Caenorhabditis elegans: one gene and its partners. The protein of the gene in region 3 interacts with the protein of the main gene of each other region in a pairwise test. Each region holds a gene or a part of one and is shown on either strand. Other genes may lie near its edges. The genes, in order: F35G12.5, abce-1, nhr-91 and klp-3.

What was found.
Region 1: the proteins of nhr-91 (region 3) and F35G12.5 interact in a two-hybrid assay, tested with the Caenorhabditis elegans proteins (one large-scale study listed by BioGRID).
Region 2: the proteins of nhr-91 (region 3) and abce-1 interact in a two-hybrid assay, tested with the Caenorhabditis elegans proteins (one large-scale study listed by BioGRID).
Region 4: the proteins of nhr-91 (region 3) and klp-3 interact in a two-hybrid assay, tested with the Caenorhabditis elegans proteins (one large-scale study listed by BioGRID).

Annotation. Positions count from the first base shown.
Region 1 is NC_003281.10:4,582,796-4,587,269, reverse strand, and holds F35G12.5 (SPK domain-containing protein), read right to left. Parts: upstream 2,688-4,474; 5' UTR 2,668-2,687; coding exon 2,602-2,667; intron 2,390-2,601; coding exon 2,276-2,389; intron 2,091-2,275; coding exon 1,988-2,090; intron 1,941-1,987; coding exon 1,813-1,940; intron 1,764-1,812; coding exon 1,639-1,763; intron 1,592-1,638; coding exon 1,456-1,591; intron 1,406-1,455; coding exon 1,280-1,405; intron 1,230-1,279; coding exon 1,107-1,229; intron 1,062-1,106; coding exon 966-1,061; intron 919-965; coding exon 796-918; 3' UTR 519-795; downstream 1-518. Other genes in the region: F35G12.7 (Divalent-cation tolerance protein CutA), read left to right, coding at 35-111, 156-215, 264-351, 396-518; F35G12.12 (26S proteasome non-ATPase regulatory subunit 5), read right to left, coding at 3,530-3,740, 3,795-3,969, 4,017-4,127, 4,179-4,379, 4,430-4,474.
Region 2 is NC_003281.10:13,152,122-13,159,821, reverse strand, and holds the start of abce-1 (ABC transporter, class E), read right to left. Parts: upstream 6,006-7,700; 5' UTR 5,990-6,005; coding exon 5,854-5,989; intron 5,803-5,853; coding exon 5,293-5,802; intron 3,867-5,292; coding exon 3,109-3,866; intron 2,245-3,108; coding exon 1,979-2,244; intron 76-1,978; coding exon 1-75. Other genes in the region: Y39E4B.10 (NR LBD domain-containing protein), read left to right, coding at 7,070-7,074, 7,146-7,299, 7,352-7,452.
Region 3 is NC_003284.9:15,307,359-15,315,388, reverse strand, and holds nhr-91 (Nuclear hormone receptor family member nhr-91), read right to left. Parts: upstream 6,015-8,030; 5' UTR 6,011-6,014; coding exon 5,850-6,010; intron 5,793-5,849; coding exon 5,687-5,792; intron 5,636-5,686; coding exon 5,547-5,635; intron 4,990-5,546; exon of another isoform or gene 4,696-4,989; intron 4,021-4,695; exon of another isoform or gene 3,886-4,020; intron 2,727-3,885; coding exon 2,631-2,726; intron 2,563-2,630; coding exon 2,510-2,562; intron 2,459-2,509; coding exon 2,301-2,458; intron 2,025-2,300; coding exon 1,621-2,024; intron 1,573-1,620; coding exon 1,321-1,572; intron 1,148-1,320; exon of another isoform or gene 1,079-1,147; intron 1,030-1,078; coding exon 924-1,029; 3' UTR 495-923; downstream 1-494. Other genes in the region: glb-28 (Globin domain-containing protein), read left to right, coding at 1-5, 133-324, 375-405. UniProt on the Caenorhabditis elegans protein: Orphan nuclear receptor.
Region 4 is NC_003280.10:7,840,529-7,846,153, forward strand, and holds klp-3 (Kinesin-like protein klp-3), read left to right. Parts: upstream 1-1,824; 5' UTR 1,825-1,888; coding exon 1,889-1,945; intron 1,946-2,121; coding exon 2,122-2,260; intron 2,261-2,745; coding exon 2,746-2,953; intron 2,954-3,087; coding exon 3,088-3,413; intron 3,414-3,505; coding exon 3,506-3,792; intron 3,793-3,840; coding exon 3,841-3,971; intron 3,972-4,018; coding exon 4,019-4,160; intron 4,161-4,203; coding exon 4,204-4,306; intron 4,307-4,356; coding exon 4,357-4,554; intron 4,555-4,602; coding exon 4,603-4,703; intron 4,704-4,750; coding exon 4,751-4,855; 3' UTR 4,856-5,125; downstream 5,126-5,625. Other genes in the region: Acetylcholine receptor subunit alpha-type acr-7, read right to left, coding at 5,136-5,255.

The DNA of each region.
Region 1 (4,474 bases), on a different chromosome or scaffold from region 3:
ATTGCTTCAACATAAAATAAGTTTTCAAATAAAAATGACAACACCCGCTGTAAAAATGGTTGTCGCGTATGTGACAGCTCCGAGTAAGGAAGTTGCAATGACTGTGGCAAGGTATTTTTTTGTTTTCTGTCTACCAAAACATAATTTCATTTCAGAACAACTGTCACTGAAGCATTAGCCGCTTGCGCCAATGTTATTCCGGAAGTCACATCTGTGTAAGTATTTTATCTTTTTTAAATCTGTGCGAGAATCCAGATATTCAGATACAAATGGCAAGGAAAAATTGAAGAAGATCAAGAGCATGTCGTGATCTTGAAAACTGTAGAAAGCAAAGTCGAAGAGCTATCAGCTGTATGTTTTTATTTCGGATCACTAAGATTTTCATTCAATTTCAGCGTGTTCGATCTCTTCATCCGGCTGAAACTCCGTGCTTCTTCACACTGGCCATTGACAAAATAACTCCCGATTTTGGAGGATGGATTGTGGATTCTACGAATTCTTCAACTGCGAAACATTGAAACTTAAAACTTTATTCATATTTATTTCTACCAACTAAACATTAAATCAACGGGAACTGATAAATACATACAAACAGATTTGGCTAAGGAAAAAAACATCGTAATAAGAAAAAATGCTCCGAAAATTTGAAGATTCCAAAATAACGATTTGAGCATGCTTTTTTGGGGATTGTCTTGAAAGCTTCAAATTTTTTTTTCGAGCGATTCTGATGTGATTTAATGAATTTTTTTCAAAGAGATCGAGTTGAACGGGAAAGACAGGGCTATCATTAACTAGCTAGCGAGCATCACTTCGAACTCCAACAGCTTTGTCTACAATGTTAAGCGAGAAGACCATCGGGACAGCAATCTTGTATGCATGGCGTTTGTATGTATGATAATCATATTCCGTCCAAAATAACTGAAAAACATTGAAATGTTTTCTCATATATGTTCAATCATTCTTACTTTTTGCTCCTGAATAATTATCTCAAAGATCCTATCCATGCTTTTCTTTTCGTTATTGTATTGTGTCTCCCATCCCGGAAAGTCTTCACACATGAACTGAAAATTCGAAGTTGAAAAGAAATCCACTAAAAAAACTCTCACTTTGTGGATGCTGTATGTAGATTCTGAAGCGGACTTTGAACTAACATATTGATAGATCATAGAAAACTCACAGTCTCCAATTTCATGGAAACCGAGAAATTTAATTACTTGGTTGACCTTCACCTTAAAAATATTGATTTACTTTCTTGACCAATCAAAATATAATAGCTTACTCTGTTCATATTCTCAGAATCCGAGGGCATTATCAAGTTGAACTTCACGTAAAGGCTCTCTTCATTCAACAGCGACAAGAGTGTAAATGAATGATGGTTCTGTATCCAGGACCTTGGGATCACTTTCTAAACGTACTAAATTTCTCCCTTGTTTAACAATAAGATTAAATTATTACCTGAACCTCTTCCTCAAAATCAGTGTAATTAAACCCATCTGGATTTTTCTGATCAAGTTTCTGCAGCACGTACATGGTTTGCGGAAAAAATCTCAAATTTTTTGCCCACCAAATTTCAGCGAGTCGTCTTGCTTCCCTACAGAAAACCGAATAATAAAATGCATAAGGTGCTTGATAAAATACTTTTTCAAACTAGCATCTGTTGAAGGTTTCGTTGACACTGCTGTAAGGAAAGAAGAATATTGCATTTGGAACTCGCTCCCTCCTATGAGATTCATGCGAGCAATTCTTTCAGTTATATCCAATTCCTGAAGGTAACCCGTTTGGTTTTAATTTTCCAAAACTTCGGCATTCTACCTGAGCCTCGTGATTGTTTTCGCGTGCCGATTCTTCCTCCAATGGTGATGGCGTGCTCAGGTTTGTCGAAGAATGCGCAAAGTCCTGATCAATCGGCGCAAACTTGAACAGGACATTGTGATTTTCATCTGAAAAGAAAGAAATAATAAACAATTCTCAAAAAGAAAAGAATCACCATTATCAAGAATGCATTTTTTATCCAAAAGATTGATTCCTTGGATGTACCTTTCGATTGCCATTTTGGATTTTCCTGGTTCAGTAATTCGATGCAACTCATCCTTAAAAAAGGAAAGTTATACTTTCAAAATTCATTTTGATAGAACTTCAATTCCCCGTTGGATTTTAGAAGGTGCAGAAAATGTGACTCCAGAGGAATTTCAATTTTAAGAAAAGCTTGCAAAATAGCCGCAATTTCTTAGGATCAAACGGAGAGGTCTCAGAACTTATACAAATTATAAACTACCTCGAATTCCTTTTTCATCACCGTTTTAAACATCGTCTTGAATTCCTCCAGGCTCATCTCCATTCTCCCAGTTTTTACGAAGTACATGACAATCGCCTGACATTGGACGCGCAGCTAGAAATAATTCATGTTTTATTTGTCTTTCGCATTGGGAAATATACTGCATAGTAAGGTAATTGTATCAGTTTCGCAACAAAAATAAGTAAATTTACGTAAATCGTAATGTTGAGAAGGCGATCTAACAGAAACAGAAAATTAAGTAAAGTTAGATTGATATGAAAGCTAGCTTTGATGAATAGAATATAATAATTTGTTTAAACAATTACGGTAATCTCGGCATCCAATCGTTTCTGCTCTGTCACTCGTGCAGTTGATTCTTGTTGACGATGCATTGCAGTCTGTGTTGAGTACTGAAAACTTTATATATTCAGCATGCATTTATCTTTTGAACGATAAAATAAACGCATAGAAGTTGGAACAATGAGGAAAGCCTATGTAGAAAAATAAATATAAATTTTCCGAATTTTCAATCATCAAACTTGCAGCTAATTGTGCGGTGCGTCGATAGTGTGAAGAAAATGGGAATTAGTGGGCGTGACTAGCCAATCAGCGGATTGTTGGGTTGGCCACGCCTTCTTTTTTTAAATTGATCAATAGCGGTAACGAGAAAATTATTGTTTTTCTATGCACTTTGGACGCACCATTATAGTCCAAATAACATGAAAGTCCAATTAATGTAACGTTAGTCTATCTAGATAGACTATCTTTCAAACATAAATAAGTCCACTCAATAAGCGATCTCAAGAGATATACATTTTTGACTTACATTTTAACGTTTTATATCGCGGCGAGACCAAAAATTGAATGAGTTTTAAATCAATTCGAAATGAAATTTTTATTTTCTTGGCGGCGAAAATGCGAGAAACACGATAGTGTGTTTTACTTAAATAGCAAATTCGTTTAACCTTCACGTTGTTAGCATTTCATTTTTTGACGCTGAAGCTTTGAAACAATCATTTCAGTTTTCAAAACTCGTTAAAGATTGAAGTAAATGGGATTTCAAACACAAGAGTATATGTAAAGACTTATATTAAAAACATTACATCAATAAATTTCATTAAAACTTCAAACCGGAACATGAATTAACGGCGAACAAGTCATTTTTGAGGCAATAAAATACTGTATTGGAATAATTGAGATGAAAAAGAAACAAAAAATTGAATAGTCAAAGAGATTCAGGATATACAGATCAATCTAAAGAGCCATTTCCTCAACACGCGGAGCAGGTGCAACAGCCGGTTGCAGATATTTCTTGAGACGGCCAATCAGTTCTGGATCAGCTTTGAGTACTTCGGCGCTCTTTGTATTCTCCGACAATTCAATGATTCGATGAATAATTTGACGTTTGCGAATTTCGTATTCTGGATTATCTTCTGATTTATCGTCCAATGCCCAGTCAATGAATCTGAGAAAAAACAATTTTAATAAAAAATCTCGCATAAAAATGTCGTTAACATACCCCTGGAAAGTGATGAACTGATGAACAACTGATGGATATGTGAACAACTGTTGCCAGAAATCATAAATACAATTCTTCATCTCAGGGAACGGCTTCTTAACATTTCCAACTGCTACATGTGTCAATGCTTTTCCACCGAGACGCTCGTACCATGTTTCAGCAATTTTTTCAGTCGCTGAAATTATTAATTTTCAAACATTCCACATAACTAAATAAGCTCACTATTCTGGAAAAGGAGAGTGACGGCCTGAAGAGTTCGACACTTCAATTCCATTGTTCCCATCGTACATGCAGCACCAGCAGCTCCCAAAGTATTCTCAAGATCTTTTGAATCTGAAACAATATGATTTTTAATATCTTGCTTTTGAAAAATTTGGAAAATACCTTTGAACATATCCTCCAAAGTTTCTTTTGCCTCGACAGAGAAGCACATACTGGCAAAATGATCGAAAGCTCCAAGACGACTGACCACACTCAATTGATCGAACATTCTGATTTCGAGCATGAGACGCCGTGCAAGATCAGGGAAATATTTAAGAACTTGTGGGTAGGAACGAGCCATATAACACATGAAACGTGTTCCGTCTGTTGATAAAAATATTGTTAAATATTAATTGAATGAACTGGTAACTTACATAAATACATTTCCCCACCATCTGGAGACTCCTTCGACCATTCCA
Region 2 (7,700 bases), on a different chromosome or scaffold from region 3:
GTTTCCTGATCACGACGGAAAGTGATATCCAACATTTTCAAGAATCGATTCATTCCTTCCAGCAGGGATTGGGGTCTGAAAAATCAATGATTTTTATTTTGGTTTAATTTTAAAAAAATACAGAAAAAAAACGTAATACGCCAGTGGAGAAATTACTTTAAAACACGCCTATGGTACCACAATTACCGAATATCATGATTAAAAAATTCAAAAAAAATTTCTAGATTTTATATGATTTTTTAAAAATTGGAAAAATCACAGTTTTCATCCAATTATTTTTGAATTTCCGCCAATTGGATTTGTTCGATGGAGCGCACTTGCATTATTTTTATTAATTAATTTAATTTATTCTCGTTATTTCACTGATTTTCTTCATTTTCTATGTTTTTTAATACGAAAATAAAAGAAATAATTAAGACAAATGCAAAATGTTTGTTAAAAAGTATTTCAAAATGGGTAAAACTGTGAAATATACTAATTTCAGACTTGTTGCCGTCGGAACTCAATATATCACAGTTTTACGCATTTTCAATTACTTTTTAACGAATTTAAGTTTTTGTTTTAAAAAAATTAGATTTTTTATTTTATACAAATTTTTGGCCAAATTTGGATTTTTGTTGGTTTATTCTAAAGATAGTTTTTTTTTAAAATAAGTTTTTAAAATTAATTTTTCTTGACCAAAATTGGATTTTTGGCAAAAAATGGATTTGTCGGTTTTTTTAAAATTTTTCGACAAGAAATGTATTTTTTTTTGGTTTTTTAAAAATTATTGTTTGGCAAAAATCGTAGTTTTGTTTTGACAAAAATTAGATGTTTTGTTTTTTTTTTGGGAAAAAATCGTTTATGTTTGTTGGTTTTTTGAATAATTGTTTGTCAGAAAAAGTTTTTTTTTTGGATTATAAGAAATCTTTTTTTAGCGAAAAATTGAATTTGTTGGTATTATATTAAGGTGTTTTGCGATTTTTTAGGCGAAAAAATGGTGTTTTTTGATTTTTGTTAAATTTTTTGGCAAAAAATTAGATTTTTTGGTTTTTTTTTAAATTTTCATTTGTCTTGTTTATTTCTTCCTTTTTCCGAGGAAAAAACATAGAAAATGAAGAAAATCAGTCAAATAACGAGAATAAATAAAATTAATTGAAATTAATTAATAAAAACAATGCAAGCGCGCTCCATCGAACAAATCAAATTAGCAGGAAATTCAAAAATAATTAGGTGAAAACTGTGATTTTTCCAATTTTCAAAAAATCATATAAAATCTAGAAATTTTTTTTTTGAATTTTTTAACCATGATGGTCATTGTGACCCCATAGGCATGTTTTAAATTTTTTTGACAAATTATTACCGTATTTCTTTTATTAATATGGCTGCAATACTATTTTTCGATGGTCTTCCCGCTTGCAATACTATTAGGGAGTGCAATACTAATTTTCAGAACATTTTTCTGACTTTGAGCTTACTATTTTTGTTCTGAAAAAACTCGAATCTTATGTAAAAATTCAGAAAATTTGATTGAAATTGCAACAAAAAAGTTCAATAACTTCAATCTTATAAAAATTTTCACGAAAATTATTGAAAACGACGCAGAAAATGTTGTTAAAATATTAAATTTAGTGAGGCGCGGGTTTGCACCGAAAAAAAGTAGAGACGCAAGACTATTAGGGAGTGCAACACTAAAAGGGAGTGCAATACTAATTTTCGGAGGGTGTTCAAGGTGCAATACTAATAGGGAGTGCAAGTCTAATAGGGAGGCCATACTAATAGAAGAAATACGGTATACAGTGCATTTTTTTTTTCAACTTCTTCGACTTTAAAGGCGCGCGCATTTTCGAGCAATGGTCTCGCCACGCGCATCCCATTGATTTGTTGAGCGCGTGGCGAGACCAATGACGAGACCATTTTGTATAAATGCGCGCGTCTTTAAAGTTGTAGAATGGGGAAAAAATGCACTGTATTTCTCACTAATAAACAATAAACTCACTTGCAAGCCGTACACTTGACCGACGGTTGACCTTCGAAAACGACGACTCTGTCGGCCAAATAGGTAGCCATAATGAAATCGTGCTCGACAACAAACGCCGTCTTCTTGGCATGCATAATGAATCTTTTGATCACTTTTGCCGCGTGAAGACGTTGCTCCGAATCCAGGTAAGCTGATGGCTCATCGATAAGGTACAAACTGGCGGTTTTTCCGAGGCAAAGGGCAAGAGCGACACGTTGTAATTCTCCTCCCGAAAGTTCTTTCACCTGTAATTGAGTTTGGTCAGGTTTAAAAAAAATTAAATCTTCGTTTTTCTATAAAAAATTTGCAAAAATTGGATTATTTTGTAAACTTTTTGACAAAAAAAGAAAACATTTTGGTTTTTAAAAGTATTCTGGCTCTAATGGATATTTTTTTTCGGATTTTTTGGTTTTTAAAATTATTTTTTGGCAAAAACTTGATTTTATAATTAACAAAAAACTTTTTTTTTTTGTTTCCTAATAATTATTTGGCAAAAATTATTACAGGAGCACAAAATTCTGAGAATGCGTATTGAGCAACATATTTGAAACGCAAAATATCTCGTAGCGAAAACTACAGTAATCCTGTTTAAATGACTACTGTAGTGCTTGTGTCAATTTACGGCGTTTCGAAAATCATCGAGCCCTTAAATCGACACCAGCGCTACTGTAGTCATTTAAACTGGATTACTGTAGTTCTCCCTTCGAGATATTTTGCGCGTCAAATATGTTGCTCAATACGCATTCTCAGAATTTTGTGTACACATAATAGATTTTCCCAAACAAATTTTGCCAAAAAGTTTCCAAAATAATCCAATTTTTGCGAATTTATTACGGAAAAACGAAAAAAAATTTTTTTTTTTCAAAAATTGGATTTTTTCGGTTCCTAATAAAATTTGTTAGAAAAAATATTGGATTTTTTGGTTTTTTTTTAAATTTTTCAGACCAAAAACTGTCTTTCCAAAAGTTTTAGTGGTGAGAACGATTTTCAAAGCTGAAATTTTCAGTATTTTTCGATTTTTAGTGGCAATTCTGAATTCTGAAGATCAATTAGCACATTTTGAAGCAAAATCGCAAAATCCCCATTCACGATTCTTCAAAAACTCTCACATTTCGATCCAACAACTGTTCCATCATCAACGGATTCATCACATCCGTCTTGAATTGTGGATGCTCGTACATGTTCTGAATCTTATCGTGAAGCATGAAGCGTACAGTAGTCTCAGATTTCGGTGAGATCTTCTGCGGCTTGTACGAGATGCTGACGTGCGGGAGCTCAGTGTTCTCATCTTCAGGCTTCAACGATCCAGCCATCATCTTGATCATCGTCGTCTTTCCTGTACCGTTTTCTCCGAGCATCACGATGATTTCCGAGTCGGAAAAGTCGCCGGCTTCAACGTCCAAATGGAAGTTCCCAAGCGTTTTTGACATTGACGGGTACTTAATATTTCCAGTTCTCTTGATATCCTCCTGCTGCTCCGATGTCTTGAAAGAGAGCTTTGACTCTCTGAATCTCATATTTTCAGTCCGAATGAATCCTTCCAAGAACATGTTGATACCTTCACGAACACCAGATGGCAGAGTAACAACTCCATAAACTCCAGGAACTCCGTACAAGCAGCAAATGAAATCAGATAAATAATCGAGAACTGCCAAGTCGTGTTCAACAACTACAACATAGTTCGTATCACTGACACGCTCGCGGATGATCGCGGCAGCCTTCAGACGTTGCTTGACATCAAGGTAAGAGGATGGTTCATCGAACATGTAGACGTCGGCTTTTTGAACACAGCACATTGCGATCGCGAAACGTTGGAGTTCTCCGCCGGAGAGTTGGTCGATTTCACGATCCAGAAGGCCACGAAGCTCTGAAAAATACATGGTTTTTTTATTTTTTTACATTTTTTACATTTTTTACATTTTTTTACATGGTATATTATTACGGCAAAAAAAATTTGAAAATTTTTTTTTTCGGTTTTTTGAAAATAGCTCAAAAATTCGCCCATTTTCTTAATTTTCGAAAAAAAAAATTTGAGGCACCACGTTTTCAAGATCTGTTCAAAAACAAGATCTACGTTTTCAGAATCTGGCACCGTGCCAGCTGCGGCTTTCTCGGTGAAAACCGAAACAACGATGCTCCGATGTTACGCGTCGCGTGTTGTTTAGCGTTCAGAAAAATATTTTTTTGAAATTTTCATCTAGAAGATACGCTTAACAACACACGACTCGTAACATCGGAGCATCGTTGTTTCGTTTTTCATCGAGAAAACCGCAGTTAGCACGGTGCCAGATTCTGAAAACGTAGATCTTGTTTTCGTAGATCTTGTTTTTGAACAGATCTTGAAAACGTGGTGCCTCTACATTACAAGTAAAAACATTATTTTATTTAAAAAATCTACAAAAAAAACCGTGCCGCAGGGTTGCGAACTGACGCTCCGCCTATTTTTCTGTGCGACGCTCCGTTCTTTGCAAAATTCAGACGGAAATTGATTTTAAAAATTTGCATGGTTCAAATTACTACGGTAAAATTTTTGTTTTTCTCGAAAATCGCTTAAAAATTCGCCCATTTTTCTTAATTTTCGAAAAAAAAAATGACAAAATGGGGATTTTGGGTGTTTTTTAAAAAATTTTTTTTGATAAAAACTTAAATTTTTAGTTATTTTTGGCAAAAATTGGATTCATTGGTTTTTTAAAAAAACATTTTTTCAGACCAAAAAGCTGTTAATTTTCAGTGGGGAGAAGAAAAAATTCCATTTTTTTTCTAGTTTTTGGAGAGATTTGATTTTAGAAGCTTTGAAAATATTTTTTTTTTAATTGTCTTGATTTTTCTCTGAAAAATTGGCCTCCAAACGACAAATTTTTGTTTAATGCAAAAAGGCGTGCGCCTTTAAAGAGTACTGTAGCTTCAAAATTTTGATGGTGCGGACGTTTTTAAATCGATTTTTATAGTACTGTTGAAATTAAACGGCCGATCCGTGCGAATTTTGCAAAAAAAATGCTGCGTCGCACAGAAAAAGAGGCGGAGCGTCATTTTGCAACCTTGCGGCACGGTTTTTTGGTGATTTTTTTAAAAACAAAATATTAATTTTACATGTTTTTTGTTGCGAAACATGGATATTTTTTAAATCAAATTTCTTCGTTTTTAGCGAATTTCGGCGTTTTCGTTTCAATTTTTCTCAGGAAAATCACTCATTTTTCAGTTTTTCACCGAAAAATAGTGAAAAAAACGACTTAAACGTAAAATTTTCGCTGAAAAATACGAATCCCAGCCAATTTTCCGCCGAAAAAACCTACCCATTTGATCAATAACCGAGTTCAAATTGTCATTATCGTGCTTTCGGGTCAAATTTTTCTCAACAGTTCCCTTGGCAGCTCTTGGAATCTGATCGACATATTGTGGCTTGATGACACACTTCAAAGTATCCTCCAAAATTCGCGTAAAGTAATTCTGGAGTTCTGAACCTCGAAAATGGTTGATAATAGTCGTCCACTCTTGCTCTTTTTGGAAATTTCCCAAATTTGGCTTCTGTTTTCCGGCCAGAATTTTCAGTGCCGTCGATTTTCCGATTCCATTTGTTCCGACGAGTCCGAGGACTTCTCCACAGCGAGGAGTTGGCAGGCGATGCAACTTGAAGGAATTCTGCGAGTAACGATGAGTGGTCTCATTTGCCAGATTTGCTGGGAGATTGATGATTTTGATTGCGTCATATGGGCACTTCTTCACGCAGATACCACATCCAATGCACAAGATTTCGGAAATTTGAGAAATCGTGGAAGTTGCCTCGACGACAATACACTGTTTTCCTGGATATTTGTTGCAATTATTTGTGAAAAAGAAACCGAGGATTTAAATACCTTGTCTGTTCACTGGGCAAGCTCTTTTGCACGCCAGACCACAATTTTTCGGCTTGCAGCGATCTTTTTCCACAATAGCAATACGCAGTGGCACGTCCGTCTCGTTGTTTTTTATTAATGGGCCTTTTCGACTCATTTTTCGTTCGTTTTACCTGAAAAACGCGATGAAATTGAATAAGAAACGTGTTTTTTAGGCAAAAATTGTTAGAAAATTCATATTTTAGAGGAAATTTCTTAAATTAGAGCGCGCTGGTTTAAAGGGACATAGCATGGGTCTCGCCGCCTTTTTTGTTCGTTTTACCTCAAAAATCAATGAAATTGGATGGAAAACGTGGTTTTTAGCACGGAAACAAGCTAGAAAATCAATAATTTCACCGAAAAACTCAAAAAAATGCTCAAGCAGAAATAACTCGAAATTCCCGATATTTTGGGTCGTTTTTTCAAGTCCTAACCATTGAAAAAGGCAAAAAAAAAATTTTTTCAGCGAAAATTCATAAATTCAAGTAAAACAGCAGGTTTTGCATAGTTAATGTTCGATTTTTCAACAGAAAATATATGAAAAATGCTTGAAACATCTAGAATACATGGAAAATAGGAAAAAAAAACAAAAAAAAATTTGATAGAAAACGTGTCTTTTTAGCAGGAAATTGACGTGGCAAGCTAGAAAATCAACAATTTCACCGAAAATTTATCGAAAAACGTAGAGAAATTGCTAAAATTTGCGGAGACCGCCTCTTGAGTGCCCCCGATTATCGCAATATTCCACAATGTTGTGCAATTATAAAAAACAAGCTATATAAGCCTCAAATAGGCAGAAATAACTCGTTTTAAGTGAGATTTCAACAATTTCAAGTGCAATTTTAAAAATTCCCAATATTTTTGGTAATTTTTTTAGTTGAGAAAAGGCAATTTTCGACGGAAAATCATAAATTAAGGTAAAACTTTAGATTTTACATAATTAAAGTCTGAGTTTTCAACAAAAAACAAATAAAAAATTGCCTAAAAACCCTAGAAAACCAGAAAAATAGGCTGAAAAGCTACATGTGGCGTGTAAAAATACTGAAAAAAAAAGAGTACAGTGGAGCGCGCTTGCTTCGCGGCTTCTCTGCGTCTCTCGATTTCGCATAGTCTCTCCATGTCGCCATGACGAAGAAGTGCTCGGCTGAACATTAATTTTTCCAATTTTCTACTATTTTTCTGATTTATTGATCTCAAAATGAGGTAATTTTTTATTTTTTTAATTTAAAATTCGCAAAATTTATCGATAATTCATTAAATTTTCAACCTTCCAGCAACGAAAGCAGTGAAACCATGACAAAAAAAGAGGAAGAAGCCGAAAAAAAGATTGAAATTCAAATCGAAGAGCACATTAAATTATTTGAGGATCCAACAGCGTCTTTCGAGGAGAAAATGAAGATTCTCGTGAAAGTTCCGACCGAATTACAGGTTTTTGAGTGCCCGGAGCGGTGAAAAAATGCGAAAAATCGAAAAATTCCAGCATAATCTTCTAAATCGAGAGCGCTCCGATCGGTTATTCGCCAGTATTCCAATTGAGATGTTTCAGAGGATTTTTGAGCCAATGCATGAAGAATATGCCCAGTAAGATTTGGATTTTCGGGGGAAAAATTGAATTTTTCATTTTTTTTTTGCAAGAAAAACGCAATTTTTGAGTTTAAAATGCAAAAATGTATCGATTTTCACTTAAAAAATGGTAAATATAGATCATTTTTAATGTTAAAACCGCGCAAATAAGCTCCTAAAACAAGAATTTCTGCCAAAAACTGTAAAACTTGTAGTACGAAATCCTAAAAACCGTTTTAAAGATTTTTGATCATTTTTCTGTGTAT
Region 3 (8,030 bases):
ATCACGTGAGTTGCACGATTATCACATTAGTGAGATAAGATGTACTTATTCTTTCATGATTTTTCCGGTTTTTTTTTTGAAATAATTTTTTAATATTAATTTACATTAATTTACATTGATCTTTATTTTCAGTGGAAAACATTGGGAAAAATTTGGCGAAAGCTTGCTAACCACCGCCACCGAATGGAATGGTCCGGGGCGTCGTCATAAAGAAACGGTGAAGGCATGGATGGTGATGTCTTCATTTCTAGCAGACCGTCTTGCTCATGCTTCTCGCCTGGCTCACCACTCACCAATGCTAACTCCTCGCGTTCAGCTGTTGACGTAAGTTTCAGAGTTTTCAAATCAAAAATTCCGGAATTTTTATTTTTTAGCGGAAGATCGGCGTTCGAGTTCAATAACTGACTTCGAAATGAAGCAGTTTCAACAACATAACATATGGTTTATGTATCAATTCTGATTCTGTAATCTGTAAAATTTAAAAAAAATGTTAAACCAATAAATTTTTTTCTTTCGTAGAAAAATACACTACAAATTGTTTGAGAGAGTGGGTGAATGAGAAACGAGATAGGAACAGAGAATGGGGAGAGAACACAAAGACATCACGAATTGCACACAAATTATTCCAGAAATTCACAACTTGAAGAAAAGTAGTAGAAAATGATACTGTAGGATCCAAAATCATAGAAACTATTTGATTATGTTTCCGACCACACGTCTATGTTATGATAGATAGATCAAACAGATTGATTGATAGAGACAGAGAAGAAAAAAAAAACGTCAACTTTTTTGGTTTCGTGGGAAGAATTGGAAAGAGGCAGGGGAATTTCAAAAAAAAAAGAAACGAATAATAAGTGGAAAAAATGAACTAAATTATATTGCACAACCGAGAAATAAAGCTGTATTGAGGGTATTGGGGAAGACTACTCGTCGAACACTAGACGTCGCGGATTCTTGCAAAGCAGGAATGGGACGTAGAACATTTTTGAATGAAGCAGCACTGACGAAGCGTTTCGCAAATCCGGAAGCCTGGAAAATTGCGAACGTTTTATCATGGAATGATTATATAATATTAGAGCCTTTTAAAGTAATGTCGTATATCAGAATATGTACGACTATAATTTATTTTGGAATGAGAACCAAAGTCAGTGACTGGACAGGTATCATTAGGAAAACTATTCACTTTTGCCAACTTAGCAAATTTTACGGATATGAATAAGCAATTAAAAATTATGTCAGGTGGGCTTCCAAAGGTGCACATCAACTTATTGAAAACATGCATTTTTTCTAACTCTGATACAATTTTTAATAAAAACTCACCAGTCAAGTATCTGTGCGAGGCTCGTCGTCTGCGCGTCCTCTCCCGGCTGGTGCAGATGAATTTGAAGTGTTTTGACAAAGTGATCCTGAAGCGTGTTGACCTTGTCGATGATACTCCTATCAAGTGTCGAGTCGGCGGAGAGGTGAAGAAGAGTGATAGCTTTGATACAGACGTACGCTTCCGGAGAGACCTTGAGATTTGAGAACGAATGGAGGAGGGTCGTGAAACGGGTGACAAGCGGACCGGCTTCTCTGGAAAATTATCATTTAGAATAAATAAAGTTAAGTTTGATAGTCTACTTCGCCACGTGTTCCAATGGAATTTCTTTGCCGAGCACCAGTGATAATCGATTTTGAAGTAGCCGAAGGTTGACCTGTGGGTTTGTGAATGAGATCTCGTCAGTTTCGTCTATCATTTCTGTTGTGTCGGGGGAGTCCGGAGTAAAGACCGAGCACGCGTAGTATCCAGCAGATAGTAATACTAGCTCGGCCCATCGTTGTGTCAAAAGGTGGGTGTGTGCTTCTACGGGTAGTTCGTCGAAAAACGGCAAGGTTTTCGTCCACTCAACAAGTTGCTCCACAATTTCATCTCCTATTCTGGTTAACCTTTTGCAAGCAGGGGCAATATCGCAGTTTGCAGATGGATTAATTCGGAGTCCTTTTAGGTTGATGAGCCGGTCTAGGCAGTCCATCTCAACCAGTTCCTGTAAAATAGCAAAATCGAATAAGGCAATAATTTGTTTCAAATTTTTAACTGGCTCATAATGCACTAGGGCTGCTAAAGGGCTGCGAGGGGCTCAGCTCCAGCCCCGCATTTAGAGCTGGGGCTGAGCAACGCAGTGCGATATGTAGTTGTTTGGAAGCCCCCGACACTTTCGAGGTTCCGCCGGTCTCGAGCCACTAGCCACCATGGTATGGAAACCCCGAAAGTGTCGGGGGCTGCCAAAAAACTACATATCGCTCTGCAAGTGCTCACTCACCTTTATTAACTTTTTCCCACTTGGAAGGCTCTGAAACGGCCTTCTCTCCTGCTCCTCCACATAATCTTTCGTTTTCCTAATGATACTCCTCCTCTGCTTGTAGTTGCTATAGATACTGTTCCCATTTCTCCCGCCGGGCATGCGATCTTCTCTCACTGCTACAAAAAGACAAACAATTTTGCGGTTATTCTCCGTGCCGAAAAACTAACCTTCGGTTAGCATGCCCTTGCTGATGCACTTTCGGAAACGACAAGATTGACACCTGGAAGGTCAATTACGGTTTATTGTGAACTTTTTTTTTGTTGAATGGAATTTTTCGAATTTACATACCTGTTTCTATTTTGTTTGTCAATTTCACAGCAGTTGTCTTGACTGCAGTGATATACTTTTTTGTTTTGAACGGACCGCTTGAAGAATCCTTTGCACCTGAAATACAGTAGTTGTTGAGCATTTTGAACTAGCTGGGTTTCAAAATTTGAAAATTCAAGGTTACAAGTAACAAGTTACGAGCAGGTGGAGCATATGGAACAAATCAATTGACCAGCGGCCAAATGACAGTTGTTGACATTTCAGAATCGAGAAAAATGAATGCAACAGAACAAAACAAGTGGAAACATTTGGAAAACGAGACGGACGGCGGGAAAAAAAATTCAAAATCAGACGACGTGAGAAGTGGCGGACTAGAAGAACCAGAAGACGGCGGAAAAGAAAATGTGGGGGAGGAAAAGGTGGTGGGTTAAAATGATAGTAAAGTGAAATGCGCAAAAAAAAAAGAGGCAGCAACAGAGACGTCTCTTTTTGGGGTCTTCGAGTGACCTTGTTCTTTAAGATGCCCTTGCAACCTACCCACATTTTCCGTCTGTCATAACTTTTTTCAAGTTGTATGACGAAAAAAGGGGAGAAGTTACTGGTGTCTTGAAAAAAAAACGTGTTGCAATTTTTCTAGCTAATGTGGCATTTTATTTTTTGGACTATTTTTTTGTTTCTACTTTTTGGCTTTCTGAACCAATAGATTATCCGCACGTGGTGCCATGTTGTCCCATTACCGTTTGATCTAGAAAAAATGCGGGAAATTTTTGCCCAAAAAATGTGACGTCAGCACGTTTTTAACCATGCTAAATCAGTTGCTCTGCGTCTCAACTCCCGCATTTTTTGTAGACCTGCGTAGATCAAACCGAAATCAGACACTCTGGCACTAAGTGCATCCGAGGAAATTTTTATCTATGGGTTGCATGATTTATAGGTTGACTGAAATTTTAAGTCAAATTCGAGGCATTCCGCTGTTAGAAAACAAACTATGCCATGCATTTTTTATGCTTAGAAATGGTATTTTATTCCGATTAAAAATGTAAAACCGTTCCACACAATTATAAGCATTAAAACTTAAGCACAAAAAAAAGTTACGTGAGCCTATACAGAAATAAAAATAAGTTTTTTTTATTATTTTCGTGTTAAAACTTAAATTTCTAAATAAATTTAAGAAACAGCAAGGCAGCTTAAAAGTTTTGAAAATAGAAAATATTCTAAATTAAAATTTTAAAAAACTCTACGAAAACTGTGCAAAAGGTCAACTTAAAAGACAAAAATCACTTTAAATTGGGTCGTGGTCATCAGAAATGAGAGGTGGGGCAGCGAGTAAGATGGGGAGGAGCGGCCCCGAAAAGTAGAGGTGACGAGAAGAGGTACGCAAATGGCACCAGTTGAACCGACCTTGTCCGACGCGATTCCCTAACAAAACCTTGTCGACCTCCGACATTTTTTTCCGGAGAGACAATATGTCCGATTGATAATGATATAGACTAATATGTATTACTTGAACTTTCTCTAACTGAGCTGTCGATTACTGAAACCTACTTTGATCGTTATCCGAGTGTCCTCTGTACTTTGAGTACGGTGTGGTACACTGATTGTTATCTTAGGAAGGCCGTTCTGAACTTTCGGGGGAACTTTCGCAGCTCTCCCGTTTTTGTGAAATAGCTTGATTGTTATCGTAAGTGCGGGTCAATTGCGTTTTTTTTTATTCAGATAATTATTTCGACGGACATCAACTAAAAATCACAGTTCTTTACAACAGTACAGTCAAATAGAAATATTTACAGCAAGCTGAGATGAAATATTTACAATGAGCGCCTATAATTTTGGGAACGTTTATGCTGTAAATGGAAAAATTGTGAGTTAAAAAAATATTTTTTTAAGGGTTTATGATTTAGGGTTTATTCAGATAGTATCACTTTTATAGTAACACATTGAAAAAAAAAGAAACAAGTTCTTATGGTGCGTGTGACCTAGAGAAAACCGTCTAAACCGATTCAAAGTGCACTTCCACTACCGACTTCACCTCCTTCCAAACCGAGGGTCAACCGGGAGGCGAGAAGGGCGCTGTAGTGAGAAACGAATGGTCGAGGTGCGTGACACATTTGGCCGGCCGTCGCCCTTCGCAACATTTCACTGACTGGGTGTTCGGCGGTGCGTCGTGTCATGCTGAAGGCCTTGACCATCATCGCGGATTCTGAAGGCCGCAAAATCTGACTGCCCCCCCCCCCCTCCAGCACCCGAGGCGGACGTGTGTCTACGTTGACGACGACGGCGGCGACGGCGTCAGCATCCCCTCCCCAGCATCGGATGAAAATGTAGCGCACTGGTGCTGACAACTGGACTTTCACTGGTGTGGTGCCCCCCACCACCACTTTCGCTTTCCCGATCCGATCACTAATTCCGTTAATAGCTCTCCCCCTTCTTCTCTCCAGACAGTTTTTATGTTGATCCTGGAAGAGGGCGAGCGGAACAGATTTCTGACCACCCGGGAAAAGAAAAATAACAATATGAAAACTTTCGATAGAAAACAAGATATAAGCAAAGGGAAGAAAGTGAAGTGAAACTAAATTAAATTATGAAATCGGCATGGATATTTATATTAGAGTAATTTTCAAAGCATCACTATTTCAAAGCATCAAACAGTAAAAACACTTGCCTAATTAATTAATTACAGAGATACAGATTGAAAGATAATTCCAGATGTATATTTTGAAACAAAAAATTTGGTTAATTATGTAGTGCTGAAATAGTATTATATGGCATCCTATTAACATCAATGTCTTAATTGGAAGTACCACAATTCAAAACAGAGGTCAGAAAACAGCAGAAACTGCGTAAATTTCAAAATACATGAAAAAAGTTTTTTGTTGTTGCTCGAAGTATGAACTTCCCCCCCCCCCCTCCGTATTTTTAATATCTAAATGCACATACCCTTCACAGGTGGCAGCACCGTAATGTAGACCGGTTGACTTGTCACCACATACCGAGCACAGCTTGCTGCTGGATTTTGAAACGGCATTCTGTAATTGTTCTACTACATAATTTCAATAATTTTCATTCAGTTCGCATACCGAAGTACTGTCTGTTGTTGGAGTTCCAAGAATAGAGAATAGAACTTTGTTTGCTGCAGAAGTGGAGTCGTCGGTTTCAGAGTTTGGGCTTTCGGTTTGACTGAAGCTGAAAATTTAAAATTTTGAAACTAAGCTCTCCACATCTTCAGGAAAATGCAATTACCTTGGAGTCATCGAGTCTCTCATATCCAATTTCATTGGCGGCACCAGTGTGGATGCCAAATGTGTCAGGTAGAACTGCAACAAGTTGGTCTGTGCCGCGAGAGCCAAGTTGTCATGGTCAAAAACAGGTGGCGTCTCAGATGTCGAGTCCGCAACGTCCATCGCACTGAAAGAGGCTCATTAATCAGAGGTCATTAATGTATGCAGATGGAGCAGGCAACATACGGTAGGGACAGTATAATGGGGTATGTAAATGGGAGGGGGAGCAAAGAAGAACAATTGGTTTAGACTTGTAGATGTCGTGAAAATGCGATAATATTTTTGTTACCCAGTTTTTGAGCGATTGTATAGTAATCAGAACGGAAAAGAAGATAGGAAATGAGCTCCCTCGTGTGAATAAATGTATTATCAAGACCGAACAAAGTCAGAATAATTGTATAGTTGTTTTGAAGCAAAAAAAAAGTAAAATTGTGTGTTCGAAAGAGGTACAAAATCTTCCTCACTTCTGAGTCAGAATCGCAGTGTACAAAAAGCGCGGATGGTAGGGCCGGTCGAGTTTATCGAAGTGAGATCAGAGTGTGCAAAAGAGCATTTCAAATGACGGGACGGTGGAAGGGGGGGGGGGGGGGTTCGTCTACCAATTTTCAAGGTCACGCATTTGGCGGCGGAGCTCGTTGAGAGCCAAATGGCAGCATTTGGACGTCACCGCCTGGTACTGAGAGCCGTTGCCGGGTGGGTTGAGAAGGTACAAAACTGTAGTGGTAGGTTTATGAGAATAAAAATAACAATAGAGTTTTTAACATTAAAAAGTTACTTGTTTGACAAATCAGTTTTGCTACAATTAAAAAGAATCAATTATTGTTCCTAAACATTCCATGAACAGAAAAACAGATTTTACCAATTTAACTTGCAAGATACTTTACGGTTATTTGCAAGAATTTGCTCAATTTGAAAATAGAGAAAAAGCTTATCAAACTTATGTTCCTATAGTATTGAAACTAATCATATTATTAATATCTTGAAACCAAACCTATATATCTGCTGTATACAAATAGTTGTTACAAAGGAATATACAGTGAGGTTTAAAAAAAAATTATTCCAAAGTGATACAGTTTTTCTATTGTCCGAAATAGTACATACCGGTTTGGTTTGAGCCTAAAAAACGTGGTAATCATCATTTTGACAGTTATTGAGTTAGTTTCTAGAAAAATAGCGATTCTCAACGATGGCGGAAATGCAACAGATATAGAAAATAAATGAAACATGTTAATCATAAAAGTGATAAGCTATCGACCAGACTTTTTCAACTAGTTTGCTAGTTTCAAAACTTGTAACACATTGTTGCTACATCGCTGATCCAGTAACCAGGATACTAATCGAACAAAAATGAAAATGCGAGAAAGAAAAACGAAACGCAAGGCGGTTGAGGAGGAGAGGAGGATAATTCAAGAAAGTACAAAGTGAGAAAGTTAAACTGTAGGTCGGTAGGTCACACACACATTCACACAACAATCGAGAGAGAGACGATGGTAAGCCGGAATGGATGAAGGATGGAGGGAGGGGGGGGGGGGGGGACAGCGCGCGGATATTGGCGCAAAAGCAAAATTGGGTGAAAGATGCATGGAGGGCGAACGAAATTTTGTGGGTCAGACCTTGAAATTCGTGAAAACCGCGTACATTCAATCGGGCCTATTGCCGGTCAAACGAGAGTGACAGTAGGTCTCTCCTCCTATTGCCCCTGCCTTCCACCGGCGCCTCTTCTTGTCTCCATTTCCTTTCACTGGACGATCTCATAAGGTTATTTTCAAAGTGCACATAAAATGGGGAAAGAGGAGGAGGGATTGGTGAGCGGGAGGGAGAAGCTGTGGGGGGGGGGGGGGGTATAGGCGGATGATGAAGCAAAGGGTACGTGGATGAATATGAGTCTTTTCTCTCTATGAGCAGCACACACGAATTCAAATTTAAAGGTGAGAGGGTCGCTGCTATACACATGAGTGATTACAAAGCCCAGAGAGTGTTGGATACTAATCAGGGTGCAGCACGAGCAACCGTGGTGGCTAATCTTATCGTGGTTAGGAGGAAAGGTTGTAGAACGACCTAGTAGTATAAGCTAGCTCGTTGAGCAAAAAGATAATAGAGAATAGGGAAACGGAATGAGAACGCACGAATAGGTAGGAGAGGA
Region 4 (5,625 bases), on a different chromosome or scaffold from region 3:
GTCTTGTCGTGGTCATCACAATTACACGGAAAACTATTTGTTTGTGTTATGTAATGTGTATGTTCTCGCCATAAAACAAGAAATGAAACCTGAAAAACGAGCAGAAACAATTGGCTTACTGCCTATTACGTGTGTGTGTGCCCGTTCCGCGTCCCTCTCATTTCCGCCCAACTCCGCCTACTTTCGTCTCTTTTCGATCACTTTTCCGCATCATTTTGATCACTTTTACAAACACATTCATGCCCGTAGTCCACCACCATCATCGCTTAACTCTTGAAATTTCTGATTGGTCATTGAATTTTGTCTTGGAACTTCCATCATTGAACACCAATCCAATTTAGACTTTTCCTTGTATTTATATGCCTATCGCCTGAATTTCTCTGATCTAGATGCTACCCAAAACAGACTTTTTCCCATTTCGTGTCACTCCTTTTTTGTGGGTCACAACTAATAAATCATGTTGCTCGTCGGTTTCTCGGAGCACACTCCATCCTTTTCCTTCTCATCAATTCAATGTGAATCGACATGCTTCTTCTTTTTTCTTCAGATTTCTTCACTACCGTCGTCACTTTTCGTTTTTTTTTCTTTTTCAACCACTTGAAAATGTGAAAATGTGCACTAGAAGTTTATGAGCTCTTGTAACCGAACACAGGCTCGTTTGTGAAAATGTGAAATGGAATGATGTTGGAAGAAAGAAAAGAACAAATCATGAGCTCCGGGTGATGGAATTCAAACATTTTTCCACAAATCTTATTGGCTTTAGTCAGAATTCTTCGTTCGTTATTCTGTAGAGTGACCCGAGTCAGACAAGCTTAATGAAATCATCAATATTCATTATAAACAAATTGTTTTAATTTATTTAAAGATCATTCTTTATATTATCAGAAAACAAGCTCTGAGTTTTTAATAACCATTTATTCAAACCTCCAAATATTCAATAAATTGGGCTTAATTTCTGTTTCAAAATGTTTTTTAATCAACCAATATATTCTCATCAGTTGTTCTATGAAAATTCTATACATTTACAAGAATTTTGGAGCGATGGAATAAACTAGGTTATAGCAAGTTGATGATACCTTTTCCACTATTTGAAACTCGACCGTTCTGTGAATTTTCTATAAATACAAAATTAACCTCATTCATGAAAGTGCTTGACGGCAAACAAAACAGTACCGAGATCAGATCACAAATAATTTTCTCTTCCTTTTTGTTCAATGTTCTGCCATCAGTCTACATTGTATTCAATTTCATGTTTGATTTGTGCGCCTGTTTCGCTACAAGCTCTTTCTCTGTGCCCTTTCAACTTTTCATCCTCCTCATTCCTTCTTCAATTTTTATTAGTTTACCTTCTCTCACTTTTTTATGACGTGGAATCACTGTATTTGCAGAGATACTTCTTCACCTTTTTCTCCATATTCGACCAGTTCTTTCACTTCTTCTCGGTTTTTTCTTTTCTTCCCTTTTTCCGCTAATAATACCTGACCAACAATTCATTTTCGGCTTGGTCTTGTATAGAAGACCACTTGAGATACTTTTGAATGCCATTCAGTTGCTATATTTTACTTTTTTTTGTTTTTTTCCTGTTGTTTTAGTTGCTAACTAAAAGATTATCCTTTTTGATCTGGCTACGATATAGTAGACAGAAAGAGAAAGTAAAAAATCGAACGTTGTTGACATTTTGTTCACTTTTTATTTCCTTTTTCAATTTTACATACTCTTAAATATGTTGACTATCCTCTATGTTTCTAAATGAACACAAAAATTTTTGTCTCCGTTTTTTGCGTTGTTTTCCTCAACCGCTGCACCCTAGAATTACTGTTTTCCAGAAAAAATAAACGATCGACACACATAAACACAGGAGTCTCTCACTCCATTTTTGACTTTAAAAATGGATTCGCATGTCGGCGAAGTCGATATTTTCCAACAATGCAAGTATATTCATGAGGTTTGTTCTAATTTCAGTTTGTTTTTGGTTTAACTAGTGTCACTAGTTGCACAAAGTTTGAGAGAATATTTTAAGATTTTTTTTTTCTGAAATTGATTGAACCATTTTTCACTGAGTTTATTAAAAAATTGTGTACCAGAATTCTAATTCACATTCCAATTATTGTTCAATTTCAGGTGGAACTCGTAAATATGAAGTTGCAAATGCGAATTCTGGAGACACACATTGAGACAAAAGACCGACTTCTGAGAAATTTAGAAGATATTATAGACGAACAAGAGTCACGAATTGCAAATATGGAAGATTTTATTCAAGGTACGCACTGTCGTGTGTAGTGAATTTTTGTGAAGTTTTGCATGATTAAAACCCCGTATTACTTATCCGTAATCTTAGACACTTACTTGATATATTGTCATGAGTACCGTGTTTTTTAATCCCAATTTTTTGATCGTCGTGTGATTTGGCTATCTTTAGCTCAAAAGTGTTATCTTTTAATACGCATTTTTGTTTTTTCTTAAAGTAATTGTGTTGTGGTGGTCGGATTGGCATGATTTTATAGTGTTTAATCTTTATTATTTTCTACTTGGTTTTTTGGTTGACAGTGCCTTTTTTCAATTTCACATATTCTACCAAAATCATTTCAATCCGGCCGATACTGATAATATTTTTCTAACATCATTACATGTTCACTTTAATTTCGCAAGTCCAAACAAAACTTACAACAGCTTATTTCTAAACAATAATCTAGCAAACGGCTAATTGGAATGATCAGGTTATTAAATGTTGAAATTGAATTGCAGGCCGTGCCACGTCATACACAAATCGGTCAAATATGCTGAAAGGAATTTCAGTTCTTTCACTGGATTTCGGAAATCTTTCGGAAGAAAATCTACGATTGAAAAATGCGCTGAGCCAAATGCAAAAAGTGGCAAGAGTGAATGAGTTATTGGAAACTGATGAAGATTATGAAAGTGATATGACAAGCAATGAGGATCGATTTGCTTTGAGGTAACCATTTTATTGTAATGTGATTGTCTTGTGAAAATAGTTTGAACACTTGAATTTTTTGAAAAGTAGGTCAAAAATGTAGTGTAATTTATTTTCCGTTTGCAAGCCTTTGCATGTTTTCCTGTGTATTCCAGCCGTGATTCTTCATGTTCGGTTCCCAGATCAGTGAGCCCCCAACCAACGGGTGACGTCATAAAGCCATATCCTCAAATGGTTCAATCAATGAGAGAAGAAGGGCATTGGAAGAAACTTCAGAGATGTGCAGAAGAGCTGAAAACTGAAAAAGATGAATTGAAGAGACTAGCATTGGATACAAAAGATGCATTCAATGTATGTATGGCTGAAATGAGAATGATGCTCACTTCAAAGACAACTGATTTCTTCCGAGTTCTCATTGAAAGATACAAAGCAGAAATGGAAAAACGAAAGCAATTACACAATCAATTGGTTGAGTTGAATGGTAAGTTCTAAATTGATTGAAATATTCCAAGAAATCGGAATGATTGATCTTTATAACTACTTTCCAAAAAACTAAAATTTTCAATTTTTAAGGTAACATTCGTGTATTCTACCGTATCCGTCCACAACTTGCATCAGAAACTGACAATCAAAAACCAGTTGTCGTGATAGATGAAATGGATAACGGAGTTGTCCACGTGTCAAACACAACGGGAACTCGGAAAACTAGTGCTGGAGCTGACAAGGTTATTCCAACTGATTTCTCGCAAGATCAGATATTTAATGAAGTTTCTCCGATTATTACATCTTGCATTGATGGTTATAATGTATGCATATTTGCGTATGGACACACCGGAAGTGGAAAAACATACACTATGGATGTAAGTTTAATTAAATTTTCAATAGAACTTTAAATTTCCAATTTTCAGGGTCCCGTCACAATGCCTGGAATCAATCAAAGAGCTATTATGCAATTGTTCGAAACTGCGAAGGAGAGAACGGGCGATATAAAATATGATATTAAAGTTGCCATGATGGAGATATACAATGAAAAAATACGGTAAATTGACTTTTTTTTTAACCTAAAATTGCAAATTCATTTTTCAGTGATCTCTTGAACACTTCCAACACAAATTTGGCAATTCGTCAAACTGAAGAAGGGAGAAGCTCAATTCCAGGACTTGAGGAAGTTTCAGTGAACTCTGCAGAAGAAGTCACGGAAACGCTTGCTAGAGGAAGAAAGAATAAGGTGAATTTGAAACAACTTCATATTCTAAATTTTCAATTTTCAGGCTGTAGCTGCTACTGAAGCCAATATTGAATCCAGTCGTTCTCATGTTATTGTTAGAGTTTTAGTATCGGCCACAAATCTTATAACAAAAGCAACTACAGTTGGTATGTCATTTTTCAAGTGAAAAAATATTTTGAATATATGATTTATTCAGGTCGTCTGAATTTGGTAGATCTTGCTGGATCAGAGAGAGTTTCTCAAACGAATGCAACCGGTCAACTGCTAAAAGAAGCTCAAGCTATCAATAAATCTCTATCTGAACTTGGAAATGTTGTACTTGCTCTTCGCCAGAATCAAAAACATATTCCATTCAGAAATTGTCAATTGACAAGAATTCTTGAAGATAGCTTGAGTGAGTTTCATAATATATTGGGATTTCCCTTTTAAATATTATTTTCAGATGGAGACAGTAAAACTCTGGTCATTGTGCATTTATCACCAGATGCAAAGAGTTTGAATGAATCTATTAGCAGTGTTAATTTTGCTGAAAAAATCGGACAGGTATGCATTTATGCCTTATCACATTTTACAAAAATTAAATGTTTCAGGTATTCACAAAAAGTGGAACGATGAAAAGAGAACCAACACGTAGAAGTATGACTGGAATAAGCAGTGGTCAACGAAGAGAAATCCCAGCATCTCCAAGAAAATGAACCTCATAAAATATCAAATATTTCATCTCTACTTCTCCAATAATCATCTTGTCAAATCCCTGAAATACCCGCTTACTCTTTCCATTCTAGTCCATGAAAAATTTCAAAAATTCAAAATGGGTTCCAACAATTTTTTTTTTCTAAAACTGCTGACTGACCAAAAAACTTGAAATACGGTTTACTTTTTCAAATCTAAATATATCCCCCATTTTTATTATTTGCAAATTTGTTTATGTGTGAGCTTTGAAACAATAAAAATATTCATTTAATATTTTTTAGTTCAATCCAATATTTTGATAGGTGGAATTGCAACAAAAATGAAGCAACAAATTATAAAAACAATTGTGAAGATTATAAGGCAGAATCGGTCAACTGCTTGAGCTGCAAACTTCCATTCGTCCTAAAATTTGAAATAAACATTGTTTTTTTATTAGGCCTGCATGTAGGACTATTTTTTATTTGCTGGTAAGTGTGACTATAAGAGACTGGAATGGTAATAGAGGAAATAAAGTATTGAACTATAAGGTTGATCTAACTCTAAAAAGAAATGTTAATAATGTTGTCAATTGTATAAAATAACTTAAACCCTATTTTGGGGCATATATGACAATATAATACATGCATTACATTTGACCGAGTACGGTTGGCTCTCTCTATCTATCTCGTTGTCCAGACCAGACTCATTTTTTCCGCGAAGTACTCTATGCCTCTTCCCTCTCTAAAAGAGACTCAGACAGTCCAAACAGAAGGACATTCTCTTCCACGGCCAC